2 linked regions of the Drosophila melanogaster genome follow. The protein of the gene in region 2 interacts with the protein of the main gene of each other region in a pairwise test. Each region holds a gene or a part of one and is shown on either strand. Other genes may lie near its edges.

The links.
Region 1: the proteins of stnB (region 2) and Syt1 interact in binary tests that used the Drosophila melanogaster proteins (3 or more experiments, as listed by UniProt).

The regions. Positions count from the first base shown.
Region 1 is NT_033779.5:2,794,820-2,802,441, forward strand, and holds the start of Syt1 (synaptotagmin 1), read right to left. Parts: upstream 5,161-7,622; 5' UTR 5,090-5,160; intron 4,018-5,089; 5' UTR 3,667-4,017; intron 3,503-3,666; exon of another isoform or gene 3,013-3,502; intron 726-3,012; exon of another isoform or gene 670-725; intron 1-669. UniProt on the Drosophila melanogaster protein: May have a regulatory role in the membrane interactions during trafficking of synaptic vesicles at the active zone of the synapse. It binds acidic phospholipids with a specificity that requires the presence of both an acidic head group and a diacyl backbone.
Region 2 is NC_004354.4:23,000,673-23,008,307, forward strand, and holds the start of stnB (stoned B), read right to left. Parts: upstream 3,977-7,635; 5' UTR 3,878-3,976; intron 1-3,877. UniProt on the Drosophila melanogaster protein: Adapter protein involved in endocytic recycling of synaptic vesicles membranes.

The sequences.
Region 1 (7,622 bases), on a different chromosome or scaffold from region 2:
TTATGTTAAATGATATTCCAAGTCCGCTATCCATTGTTTGTTCACCTTTTGTTTGCATCTCATTGTTTCCATAAAGCATCTCGTGAGCCAAAGATAACTTAATATGTCACCAAAACCACTTATCCTCTCAGCCAGAAAGAAAGAAAAGCAAACTGTGTGTGTAGAGCAATTTAAAGCCAAAATGACTGGAAAGCGATGCTTCTCCTATGGCTTTTCTCTTGTTTACTTTGCAAATGACGTCAAAGGACATCCATACCCTGAAACACGCTAACACACACCAACGGAAAATGGAAAAGAACTCGGAAAACTCGAAAAAACTCGGCAAGCCGCTTAAATGAAAAGCCTGAAGGCAGCTTTGTTTATTTGGCCCCATAAATATGCTTAAAATTCAAAAGTTGTGGATGCCACGCGGGTGGAAAATTTAGATGCAAACTCTGTGTTTGCTCAACATACAATACAATTTGCATGAATAATGTGCGAAATTAAGTTATGCGGGTTAATTGCCTTCTAGGCAAACGCAATTTGCGATTTAATTCAGTTTTGGGTCGAAAAAGGCATCTTTAAAATCGATAAAATTAAGCTAAACATATTTTTCAAATAAAAAGGCATGCATCATGGCTTAAGTAATGAAAACTAATTATAGAAATATTTCTTATATATAATTTTTACCTGTATAACTTAATCACATACTTATTTGATGTCCATACCTCACAGTTAAACTAGAGCGACTAAATAAAAGTACTGCTGCTGGACTAATATACATACATGTTCTTATCACGAATTTAATGAAATTGTTTACTTTTCACCAATTTTGCATATGAATAATAAACAGCTGTCTCTTTTCTCCGCTTATCGCTTTCTTAAATGAGTTTTTGCCAGCTCATCTCGTATTTCGCGAAGATTAAACTTAAGACAGACAATTTCTCTGTAAATTATTTAAGAGTGCACAATTGATAAACATCATAACTTTAACATGATCAATATAAATTTTAAATGTTGTCCTACTTTTAAATGCACTAACTTATTTTACTTTTTAGAATGAGCGACCACGACTCTTGGCCACTTGAGGACAAAAAGGAAAATTACCGAGAAATAAATAAATTTAAATGCATCTAGGACAAGTTGTGCGGCACAGAAGCTGCCTGGAAATGACTCCTTGAGATGGAGGAAGGGGAAAACCAGTCATGTGGCAGCAAAAAGTGGAAAGCTGGGAGATGTCACGATTTCCGTGTGATTCCCTGACAAATTGCGTTGCAGCCCAGTGGCAGATAAATAAAATGGATAAACAAGGGCTTTCTACCCTCCGAAAGACTCATCCATAATAAATGTGGACGCAACAATCAGAAACACCTAGCTACCGAAAGTTGCCCGGAAAATGGCAATCACCCAAAGGTGGACCACTTTGTTATTCATATTTTATTTATGCACCAAAAAATCTCATGCTGAATTATGTTTCCTGGCATAAGGGGCCGAAAAACCCGCAAGAAAAAGAACTTAACATTAATAGGAACAAGATGTGCAGCTACTGTGATTTCCAGGAAGGCACAAGAAGGTCACAAATATTGTATGCGCCAGTTGCCACACTTTTGTCATTCTGCCAGCATTTCGTGGCACTGTTTTTTTTTTTTTTTTTGCCCACGGGTCAACGGGGCGTATGGGTGTGCTGGTTATTTTGCGGTGCCCACTTGTCTGGGCACCAAGAAGTGGCAGCTAAATAACAAACTACGCAGTTCAAAACGGCTTCGTTTCGTGCTAAAGTGTAAATTATGTTTAGGGCCAAAACAGCTGCTTCCAGTATTTGTTATTGGTAGTAAGACGCTTGAGTGGTCAGTGAGTTCATTGTTGAGCACTCGATTGATGGCAAAACATTTCCAGTAACTGTCAAAAGTGCCATAAACATGAAGGAAGTACTGCTTTTGAAAGCCAGTCTCGGAAAAGTATTATAATTGAAATGAGCAAATAAAGCAAGGTACACTGAAATCTCCTAATAAGTTCCAAAAATCAGCATTCCACTTAACGTTGTAAAATTCAATTACCACTTTTGATGAACTTACTCAATATGAACAGAACTTTCGTGTCGAAGACCCTACTAAATTAATCAAAGCTCAGTTCGGAGCTCCAATTTAGGGACGATAAGAGGAATGTGTGCTTTCCTAGTAATAATTGCTACGATTTGACCTTTGGCGAAGGACCTATAAATAGGCAGCTGTCTGCTGCTTTTTCATAAATTGTGGGCGGTGGTGCAGAAAAAGCTGATAAGGGTGCGTGGGCTGCTGGGTTGGTGGCCCGGTGGGTGGTGCAATGCAGTGACAAAAAGTGGAGCACAGATAACGGCAATTGGCTGGGCATTTTAGATTAGCGCGGGGTTCGCATGGCGATAAGATAAATGGTAAAAGGATACTGCGAGTAAGCAACGAAGAACCCGAGTAAAAATAGAGTTTTCTACCGGTCTTACCATCAAGCTGTCAAAACAAATTAACATGGGATGGATTGGACAGGCAGTCATTACCCATTACCGGGTCCAAACAAACCCGCCAGCGAGCAAATGGAGCTCGCAATATGATTCGGGTTCGGATTCGGATCTATGGCAACATCTGTGGAACCCACGCACGTAATACGGGCGAATCGCGTAGAAAATGGCCAGGAGGCTCTCGAAGCTCACGAATGGGGAAACGGTTAAACTTTTTGGCGAGCCGGAGAGTGGAAAACTATGAGAGCGGAAGGATGGAAAAGCGGAAAAGCCACACATGCCCACAGCTCTCTCTCTCTCTCTCTCTTTCTGTTTCTGTTTCTGCTCTCTTTACTGCGCACATAACCCAGAGAAGGCAACAAAATAAAAACTCGGAAAATAGCAAAGGAAATAAAAAAAAAAAGAAATGAACATGAAGGAAAATCCAAGCTAGACGTTGGAGCCCGACATTGCCTCAGGCCAGAAGAATGCCTGGCGGAGAAAACCAATTTTCCACATCATTATGCTTTTCGCTTTCATTGAACAATCCGTCTCGATGTTTTCAAAATCAAATATAGACTCCGTGCAAACAATTCATTCATATTCTCGAATTTCACACAAAAGGATTTTCGGGCGACGCGAAGGGTCAAAATTACGCTGCCGTTCGGGCCAACTTGATTATTGGCAATTATGTGCGGCCTGCCGAGCTTGTTTGCAGCATTTTTATTGCTATGCTTCGGCAATGCCCTTAATAGCCTGCCCTCCGAGGAATTCCAGCCCAACTTCGGGCTGTCCAAAGCTAATTAGCGAAGAGCAGGACTAAATCAGGTTTAGTTCTTATTAGACGAAGATAAGAAAGGACACGATGAACAAGTGATGTGTGGCACTGGGCAGAGAATTTGGCAGTCTGGCAATTAATCAAGTTAATAAACCCAAAGTATTTCAGACCTTTTGGGTTTAATTGGTAAAGGAAATTCCTGCAAATTTTTGTGAATCTATTAATTAACTTGATTATTTAGATATTAATATAATTCAAGATGAATGTTAACCATGGGAAATGTTTGTATCTTAGAATAATAAGCAATCACATTTTCTCTGATAGCTTAGAGATTAGTTTTTCTTTAGCTGCAGCAACCCTTTAGTTATGTATGTTTCTCCATTCACTCTATGGACTGCCCCAAAAAGTGTGCTACGTTCTTGTAAATACCAACACTCACCCCCTAATCAGAAATGCTGCCAATGTTTCTCCTTTCCAATCAGCAATTGGGATCCAGACTAGCGTTAATAGCTCGGTCGTTTTTGGTACTTAATTCGCTTGTTTATCGTCCGCTTTATTAGTTAGGATGATGGGTTTTGAGCAGCGTTTAACGAAGCGTGACTCCTGCGAGGGGAGCGGGGAGGGTCGGCAGCAGTGGCGACTATTTGGCAGGAAGGATATGGTGATGCGGGTCCTGGCGCTTGTCGATGTATGTGTGCTGCTGCTGCTGCCTGATTTATGTTTTTGGTTTTTTGTGACTGGCTTTGGCTAGTGAGGCCGCGGCTCGCTAGTCTCACATGAATTTCGTATACTTTTTTGGATAATTTGTAATAAAATTAATTGAAATTAATTCAATTTATTTAGATTTATTTGCATATATTTTGCAGTACAAAGGATGTCAGCGGAAAGTGAGGAAGAGAGAGAGAGAGAGAGATATAGAGAGAGAGTGAGTGAGAGAGTTGAAGAGATACGCAGCGTATACGTAATAGCAAAATACAATGGTGTGCGTAAATATTGATAGAGCGAACTCGGCTTTGTGTGTGTGTCTGTGTGTTGTGTCTCCTTGCCCAAAAGAGCATGTGTGTGCGTGTTGGTGAGTGGGCAGAGAGAGACAAAAATAGAGAGAGAGAGAGAGAGTGGGAGGTTGGCAAATTCGCTTTTTCCTCGAAGAAAGCAAATTCAGGATAGAGATTTTCTTAGGGCCATTTCTTTCGTCCTTTTCAGGGCCTCTTTTGGCTTGAATTGAGCTTTCCTTTTTTCTCTCGCACTCAGACACTTCAAGTTGATAGTTAAAAATCTCATTTCAATTTTAATTTTTTATTATTTAATTATAGGGCGTTGAAGGACTGCGGATTCGGATTTTCCGAATTCACATTGATATGCTTTTTAATCCTGGCTTTCGACTGGCCTACAGCACCACAATAGTCGGGTGGGAAAAATCAATATCCCCGCAAGTGGCTCACATGCGTTTTCACTTTCAATGATAGCCCATTTTTCAGCGCTTCTTTCATCTTCGCATTGCACATTGGAATTTTCAATTAAAATTTTCTTGCTTAGCTGCCATTTTTTCTCGACATTTGCTGCGAAAAATTCTGATACACAAAAAATGTTCTCCTTTTTTGTCAGCGCGTGCTAAACACTCGCACACACACAGTCGCATACACGCACCCACACCACACACACATACACACGCGCACTATACATTTCGGGGCTTTCGATGGCCTTTTCATTTATATAACAAATTGGAAAACACTTTCAACACTTTTGCTTTGCTTTCAACCAATTCTGTTTAATTTTCATAATTTTTTCATCACATTTTTGAATGATTTTCCATGGGCATTGCCACTTTTTATGAGCCTCTAGAATTTTTCTTTCCCATTCACCTTCAGCCTAGCGCTTTGTACTTCAGCAGTCAACTTCCACGGTCGATGTTCATTCGCGTTTTGGCCCACACGCTCCAGGAGCAGCGCTGAAAAGCTTGGGCCACTCGCCAAAACGCGAGAGCGAACCGGTTGGGGCATCGATTTTGGCCGCTCGGCCAGCGGGTGAGCGGGGCGGTGTCCACCGTGGGGGGAGCTTTTGGGCAGCGGAAATCTCGGAGGGGAAGACTTTAGGCCAGCTGGACATGGCTGAGCCCCTACGTCTGTATGATATGCAAAGGAGGATAATCATAAAATAGGCACTACCATAAAATGCATCCTTCATAAGTAAGAGTTGAATAACTACTACAGTATCTCATGTCTAGTACCTTTACATACATATTTTCAAAAATCCCTACTATATCTCTCTCTAGATTTTCCCAAAGGAGGTAAACATCTGACTGGGAATCACATGTAAAGTTGAAAGCTCCTTCAGAACCTGTTCGCAGTATGTTTTTTGGTGCATGCGTACTGGGGCGGAAGTGTCTCAATGGCACACAATGTTGCCATTTGCTGTAGAGCAAAGCTTTTCTGTGCCAAGTTTCACTTTCCGTACTATTTTTCCTTCGCCTATGAAAGCTGAGATTTGCCATGTAAATGGCGGCACTGTATCGTATATTTCACAAAAAATCAAAACAAATTACTTATCTAACGATAAGCCAAAATAGTATGACTGTGAAATTAAATCTTTTTCAATAGATCCGATCCATCCAGGCAATTTATTTGGTTTTGGAAATGCATTATTAAAAGGTCGTGCCTACTTTTGGGCTGACAAGTCCATCTTAATGACATGTCAGCACAATAATTATGAAATATAATTTAATTAATACTTTGTCACAAAAATAGTTTATAATCGTGATTTCCCCCTAGAGAGTAGCTGAGTTTTTACATGCAATGAGGATATATTTTTAAATGTTTTGAATAAATATACTATAGGAATACAAATACATAGTAAGTTACTATTAGTAACCTAAAATCAAAGCAGATACGATCTTAAATCATACTTCTTTGAACAGAAATACTTATCGACTTGCTTTCCTATGAGTTATGTATTTATATCGGGTGAATCATTAACAATCCTTTACGACGCGCAAATAAATCACGATATTCGATAGTGCTGGTCACCTTCACGCCTCAATCAGGCGGTTGGCCATACTCGGGGTTCGTGATTTCCCATATCGTTTATCTTGGGAACCCTCGCACGGCAATCGGTAATCGCTAGCGAAGAAGTTAATTAAACGGCCAGTCCTCGGGCTCAAATCGATCGAGATCGATCGCGGATGATTGATGATTGAAGCGAAGAGCGGAATGTAAACACGCACTCGCTTACGCACTTATCACTATCAGTTATCAGTGGGAAGTGGACAGGGAGCAGCAGCTCTTGGTCGGTGGTCACTTGAACTTGCTCCCAAATGGCGATAAGCGAGGCGGCACGCGCTCGATCCGATTTGGCCGTGGGGCAATTGCATTATTGGGGTTGCTGTGTCATCGAGACTAATCGATTTGAATTGGGGCAATTGGCATGATTGCTTTGGTTTGGTTTGGGGCAACTTTGATGAGGTAATGCGAAGTTTCCCACCCCCAAAAAATAGTGTTCTTTCCGCCTGCATCACCCGATTAGACTCGCAATCAGCGAATGTTTGGTTTTTTCCTATGTTATGTTTCTGATTCCGTGTGGTATCAATCGTTTTGGTGGTCGAGGTTATGGCAAGGCTACACGTGCCACCTATAATGGCCATTGGTTTTATTTGCTTTGCATATGTGGTTTATTCGGCACTTGCACCTTATCAAGTGCTTATACTCACAATCCAGATGTGCAATAGGCACAACTGAAGTTCTCACTTCTTCTAATCTACATGAAATAGCTGATAATTTCACCAGGTTTAGACTTTGTCTTCGCTGTATGAATACATGAATCACGTAGATTGCGTTCGAATTCTTGGCAAATATATTTGGATTCCAACGTGTGCGACAAAGGTCGATTGGTTAATGCCTAATGAGCTTATCTGCCACAGAAACCATTGACAAATTAATTATCATTAATGCTGTGTAATTGGTTTTTTTATCAGTTTAAATCACAAAATTTGTCAAGGCTTCTTAGTTACTTATGAATATGTACCAATAGCGTCATCATATCATTCTAATTGTAAACTAAACAAAGCGCACCCGAATAATCTTTCCGTTTTCCAAGTAAGCACTAATTCTTATACAATCTAGATATACCATTCATTAGCACCTGTCCCGCAAACTTTGGGCATGTGGTACGGATTGGCTCGAGTGTCACTCGGGGGCCATAAAAACTGACCACATCAATTCGAAAATAAGTGGAAATGAAACGCTATATTCGTGGATGCTAATTTTAGATCGGGTCGCTTCGCCACACTAGTCGGCGATAAAGAGCGTTGTGCTATTTTCAACAAATGCAAAAAGAGGTGACAACAAAGGCAACTTGACGTCGTCGTCGTCATCGTCATCATCGTCATCTGGCGGAGGAGCA
Region 2 (7,635 bases):
AAATCGGAAATTTGGATAGGTGGAGACTTATCCAAAAAATGAAGAAAGATTTCTGGGTTAAGTGGAAAAGTGAATATTTGCATACGCTCCAGCAAAGGAATAAATGGAAAAAGGAAATTCCTAATATAGAAGAAGGGCAAATAGTTTTATTAAAGGATGAGAATTGTCATCCTGCAAGATGGCCTTTAGGAAAGGTGGAAAAGGTGCATAAGGGGAATGATGATAAGGTCCGAGTGGCTAAAGTAAAAATGCAGGAAGGATATATCACTAGACCCATTACTAAAATTTGTCCCTTGGAAGGAATAAAGTCTGTTGACAAAAATGAGGCTGACCAAGAGCCAAAAAGACGAACTAGAGCGACATCGGGAATGTCCAAGATCGGAATCATTATGGCAATGTTGTTGTTTGTGTTAAGTTGTCAAGTTTCTAGCGCATTACCTAAAGATATAGCACCAAGATATTCTATAGACAAAATAAATAAAACCTCAGCAATATATCTAGACCCGCTAGGAGATGTTGAGATTGTGAGTACTTCTTGGAATTTGGTTATCTATTATAAAATGGATCCATATTTTAAAATGTTAACAAAGGGTAATGCGCTTATACAAAGTATGAGGAAAGTTTGCGAAAGACTTCATAGCTTTGAAGAGCAATGTAGTCTAGTCTTAGATAATATGCAAAGTCAGTTATCGGAACTTGAAGAAAACAATAAATTGTTTATGATACAGTCTAGATCTAGAAGCAAGCGTGCTCCTTTCGAATTTATGGGTTCCTTGTATCATATTTTATTTGGTATAATGGATGAAGATGATAGAGAGCAATTAGAAGAAAATATGAAGAATTTGTTAGATAACCAGAACAACCTTGATAAACTAATTCAAAAACAAACATCTGTGGTTGATTCAACTTCTAATCTATTAAAGAGAACAACAGAAGATGTTAACTCCAATTTTAGAAGTATGCAAATAAGAATTGAGAACATGACAGAAGTTCTTAAAGAAAATTATTATGTTTATAAGGAATCAATAAAATTCTTTATGATTACGAAACAGCTACACTCATTGATTGAAGAAGGCGAAAAAATTCAAGCAGGCATTATAAGCCTGTTGATTGATATTAATCACGGTAGGCTAAATACAAATATTCTCAGGCCAAATCAGCTTAAAAAAGAAATTGCCAAAATTCAGCAGAGTCTTTCGGAGAACCTAGTAATTCCAGGAAAACGGTCAGGTACGGAACTTAAGGAGGTGTATACACTGTTAACAGCCAGGGGTTTATTCATCGACGATAAATTGATCATTAGTGCAAAAGTGCCTCTGTTTAGCAGGCATCCATCCAAATTGTTCAGGCTTATTCCGGTGCCAATTCGAAATGAAGATCGGATAATAATGGTGCATACAACGTCCGAATATTTAATTTATAATTTTGAGATAGATTCCTATCACATAATGACGGAAGCCACATTAAATCAATGTCAGAAATGGCAACTAAATAAGAGAATATGCAAAGGAAGTTGGCCCTGGAATTCAGCGAATGATAATGCATGTGAGATTCAGCCTCTAAAGCCAGATAAAGCGGCGAACTGCATCTATAAAACAGTAGTCGACTCTAAAAGTTACTGGGTAGAGTTAGAAAAGAAAAGTAGTTGGTTGTTTAAGGTTCCTGCGAATTCAAAAGTCCGTCTGCAATGTACTGGCTCTCAAATTGAATTGTTTGATTTGCCTCAGCAAGGAGTTTTAAGCATTGCGCCATATTGTACGGCAAGAACCGACGATAAAATTCTAGTTGCCCACCATAACATTCAGTCCGAAAGTGAAGAATTATTATCAACACCTTATATAGGAGAAGTTAGTGAAGCGCCGAAGATTATTTGGGATCCGCTGAAACTATCAATATTAAATCATACTGAGGAATTTGAACGATTGAATAATGAAATTAAATTTATGAAAGAGAACCATCAAAAATTGAAAGATTTACATTTCCATCATATTTCCGGACATGCTGGATTAATTATTGCTTTAATACTAATGATAGTATTAATAATATATTTCATACGGAAATGTGCTGTGCAACAAAGAATGCAAGCAATAACCTTTGCAGGTCCGTTGCCAGTACTATAAATATCAATAGTAAATAAACAATAAAATAATATAACAAATAAAAATATACAGTCCACTATATCGTTGTTTAATAGAAAATGTACTTCTACATAGAAAAAGCAAAATGTTTAAAATAAGTTAATTGAGTACAAATTGTTGAATTAAAAATAATATAAACCATAATTGTAATCCAATAAAATTAAAAGCCAGAAAAACTAGGCCCATTGAAATCTTAGTTGCAAAATAAATGAACATATATCAAATAAATACAGTCCACTACTGTTATAAATGCAACTAATATACTAATGTACATCTCAGCTTGCTGGCCCTTTGGCAGAATGTTCACACATGAACACGAATATATTTAAAGACTTACAATTTTGGGCTCCGTTCATATCTTATGTAAATGAATCGAGAGCGATAAATTATATTTAGGATTTTGTTATCTAAGGCGACATGGGTGCATTGCTCAAAAACATGTAATTTAAGTGCACACTACATGAGTCAGTCACTTGAGATCGTTCCCCGCCTCCTAAAATAGTCCCTTAGTGGGAGACCACAGATAAGGTCCTCGCCGCTCAAGATAGGCAGATGTGCCCGAGCGTGGGACCTCGATAAGGCGGGGACTATTTACTTAGGCCTCTGCGTAGGCCATTTACTTTAAGATGCGATTCTCATGTCACCTATTTAAACCGAAGATATTTCCAAATAAAATTAGTTTCTTACAAAAACTCAACGAGTAAAGTCTTCTCATTTGGGATTTTACAATAGGCAACATTTATATTCAGACACATTGTTTATACCAATTATTTGCACTTAGGACAGTGCGAATTTATTACGTTTTAAGCACAAATTTTAACATTTTAGCTGTTTATTTTTGCTAATCACTTGTCTTGTTTAAAGAACGTTAATTTGGTTCGCTGATTACGTACCATTTAATACATTTTTCAAAACGGTTTTCATGCGGTTTAGGTTACATCTTTCAGAATATTAATGCAAAAGTAGGTATTATAGAATACCGACTTTTGAACAGGATTACATGTACAATAAAACTTTAACAATAAAAAATGGATTTAGACCCCTTGTAAGCATCTAAAACCTAAGGATCTCTATGAAAAATTGATTTCATATCATAATACATACAATAAGGCAAAATTCTATCCATGTTGAATAATAGGTACAAATAAAAATTGGTTTGCTCATTTTTATTTAATCTAGCCTGAACGTCACATTAAAATATCATTTGTTGACGCACTTCCTTGCCAAAGCTTAAATAGCTTTTATTTTCGCACACATGTCACTTGGCATATCGCTCGAGTATTTTTTGATCTTACAATATATTATTTTACAATATATATTCTTCTTAGTTTTTCTTTCTGTTTCTTCTCCTTTCTAATGAGAGTTGGTTGGAAAAATCGATGCTCTAGAGACGACGGATTCGTGCAAAAGAGACAGCTCCCCCGCACTACAAGTCACACACACTTGGACACTTACACACGCGCGGCACATAGAAAAGTTAAGCTCTACAATTATATATTTATGGGTACAGGAAGGAGCCCAAAGAACTGTAACTTTTATATGTATGCCTATCCCCACTTCGAAAAAATGTACGCAGCTGAATTTCCGAAGTTTTCCTTCAGGAAATTATGCAACTTACGTCTCACTCTTGTGCATACAATTATCATTGTACGAAAAAAAAAAACACATTTCTCTCACTTGTTTTCGAAGATAATATTTTGGCATATACTTTAAAATAAGCAAAGAGCTAACACAAGTACCTAGCGTTGTTTGTTTTCAGAGGACTTTAGTTTTTCGTTTTGATTCGGTTCGGGGTCTTTACCTCTGATTTGAACTATCGGGAAATCTAGAACAGAATGAATTAAATGTCGTGAAATTCCGTAGGAAGTGCTTTTCGTAAGCTGCGACGTCAGCAGAGGAGAAACAGCGGTACGGCGCACCAACGGTATATCCTTTAAAAGCTACATAAAGCTCTGAAAAGCACTGTACTTAAGGAAGTTTCCTTCCACAGCTGACATTACCCTTTTTTATGGTATTTTTTATCCCTGTGTGATTTTTCTGCTCTAAAAGCTTCAAAGCTCTGCAAAAGAAAGACTTAAACAAGAGAGGATTCTATAGTCCGGTTCCCCAATTATCAGATACCCTTTACTCAACTGGAAGTGGAAACGAGAAATTCAAATATTTTTTGGAATATTGGTAAAAATTGGGAAAATATAATAAAACAGAAAATAACCAATAATTGCTGAAAATAGTGAGACGGACAGGAACAGATCGAAGTGGCTATTGTTATATAGTTTATATGTTAGGAAACGCTTCCTTCTGCCTGCTACATACCTTTCAACAAGTCTAGTATACCCTTTTACTTTACAAGTAACGGATATAAAGAGAAGCGCTGTCATCTGCGTCACTGTCATATGACACTAGGCATTTTATTAAGTCTTGATTTCTGACGCATGCGTATCCTAAACATATTTCAGCCCTGAAAATATTATGGACGACACGTGATATTTCGTTCATATTCAAATAATCGCATAATGTTTAAATTAACCTAACCCTCTCAGCACCAACATTAAAAAAAACGTATTATACCCGTTACTCGTCAAGTAAAAGGGTATACTAGATTCGTTTAAAAGTATGAAATACCCACATTTTTTAATCATTTTTCGAAATTTTTTTTTATAATTTTAAATTTCTATCGATTTGCTAAAAAAAAAGTGTTAAGCAGCTGATTGAGAGAATGCAATTCCCGCCAAATTATTTGCTTACTTTTGCACGTGGTACGATCGTTAATACGCATCCATAAATTATTATTATTATTATTATTATAAATTATAATTATAATATATATAAATTATAAATTTAAAATGTTATATTATAAATTATAATAAAATATGGAAAATAAATGCCAAGGTATGTTGTTTTTAACGTATGTAGTTAATATATGTGTAGTTGCACTGTTTTTGTGTTGTGTAACAGTCAATTTATGTGTATTTTAACAGAGAATACTAACGTGTCCCCTGTGTTTCGTGGAGTATAACTAATTTTCTGAAAAAAATTAAAAACGTCAGTTTGTACCTTTAACTATTATCTTTGACGGTAAAGTAATATATTTTTCTCATTTTTGCTCGTTTTCTTAAAATTACATTTTATATAGGCAAGTTAAAGTTCAGACATAGCGACCTCCTGGACATTTGGAGGCGTAACAATAGGCAAATAAATGTATGGTTCAGATTACGTTTATTCCGCAAGAGATTGAAAAAAAATAGTACATTTTGAATTATTTATTAAAAGAAAACTGCCCGAGTGTAACAGACAACTAGACCGATTTATTTCCAAACATACCAAATGGATGGCGTCTAAGATAACAATTCTTGTTAAATTGGATTTAAATGGGACGCCGAAACTTATCTTAGCAAAATGCAGGAGAAAGATTAAAAAGGAAACTAGCATCCAATCGGGCAAGTAAAAGTGATCACGACACAAGTCTTTTGATTCATGCAGCAACTGTTTCTGCTAGAAATGCAAAAGGGACGTTGCCTTTGTTCTTAAAGAAACTTTAAAAACACCAGATAACACCAGAAACACCTATAATGAAGTGATCGAAGCAAAATTGCAGTGCCGACCAGAGGGTACAGATGTAATGCTCAAGTGCTATTACAAATCTCTTGGATCATACAGCGCAAAAATTAATTAAGTTGCAATCTGATGTTTTCAAGCAATTTCCAGATATCTTTATAATCAAATTAATTTGCAGCTACAGATTTGATGGGACAACTGGTCATAGTGCTTACAAGCAGAAATTTGAAACTGAAGCACTTGGCACACCAATTTCTGATCAATCTTTATTTTTAACTTCTGTCATACTTTATTTATTATGTAGAACTAGAAGAAGAAGAGGGCGATTATTTTTAAAACAATACTACACACATACAATACACACTTTTATTAAAAAAAAAAAAAACAATAAAATTTCGTTGACCCTGAGTCATACCAGTTGTTAATGTGGGGGAGGCAAGAGAGGGCGTGGTCGCACAAATATTGTGGGCAAACTATTTGGGATTTAACAACAAAATGTACAAAGTTTCAAGTCTGTAGCTCAATTTTTAGACTTTATGCCAAAAAAATCGAATTCTGGACCACAGTGCATTGCAACACAGTATTCACTAGTGTTGTGTCGTTCGTGAACGAACGAACTAAATTTAACTATTCCCCAAACTGAACGAACGAACTAGGTCTGTCTTTATAGTTCACTTAGTTCAATATAGTTGTAAACTCTTTGTTATTTATTACTTATTATTATTATGTATAACTGTTTTTGACATAAATTTTAATGTCAGCATTGTATGAGATAAACTCATAACATTTATTGTGAAGCACCTTTAAGCAAGCTTAAAAAATGAACGATTGAACTAAATGAACGACCTAGTTCATTGATTTTAAACGAACGAACGAACCTATTCCCCAAATTGAACTGGGTTTACTCAACACTTCAAAATACTCAATTGAATCACAACCTGTGAGCGGTTGTAGCATATTTTAGAGCTAAGTGCTATTCAGATTGCCCCAGCGACGAGTCGGTTTTTAGATAAGTAGTTTTACGAATTTCATGTTAGCTACCTAAGCTAGGAATTATAAAAAATAAGCTCAGTTTTAAAATTTGGCAATTTAAATAAGTAAGAAATTAATAATGTGAATCTCGAATAACTTTATTTTCTGCTGAAAACTTTTATTTATTTAAATATATATTTTAAGTTGGGAATGAAGTACGAACAAATATTTTTAAAGTGCAACTTTGATGTATCGATGTATCGATTGTATTTTTCTAAATCGATAGCATTCCAGCTCTGCATGCATCTATCTTCCCACGTACGATACTACTTATCGCTAGGCCACATCGTTTTTTGACAATTTTGCGATTGCTGGGACTTGCAAACATAACGATTCATCGATATTTTTCTTGAAGCACTTCACACAACACTAAATCAACTGTGATTTCTAACACAAAAGAGGTAAGCAAGCCATTAAACAAAAGCAAAGTCTAGGTAAAGGACCAAGACTAAAGGTTTGGATGGTTTTCATGCAGTCGTCTGACCTACTGTGAACATTTAAACACACACACAGAATTCTTCTACCTTTTATTGTGGTAATTATAGGAATTTTAATCATCTTTTACATTTACATTAACTCGTTAAGATTTATGCCGGTAGTGCATAAACTTTGGACGTACCCGAACTCGTACAAGACCATCTAAGATATACTGGCCAAAAAACGAAAAGATTATATTCATATATTCTCCAGAGAATGGAGAGGTTCATTATCATTATAATCATCAGATTATATTCATACTGCCTAGTTTTGTCCCACATTAAACCTATATGCTTCGGCTTTCTTATGTTCAACAAAGCTGCATAATACTTATGTATTTAAATACACAATCGATTGACAGAGCAACAAAAATTAAGCTGATTGCGATATAGAATAAAAATCGAAATATCTCCTTCAATTTTTTAAGAAAAAC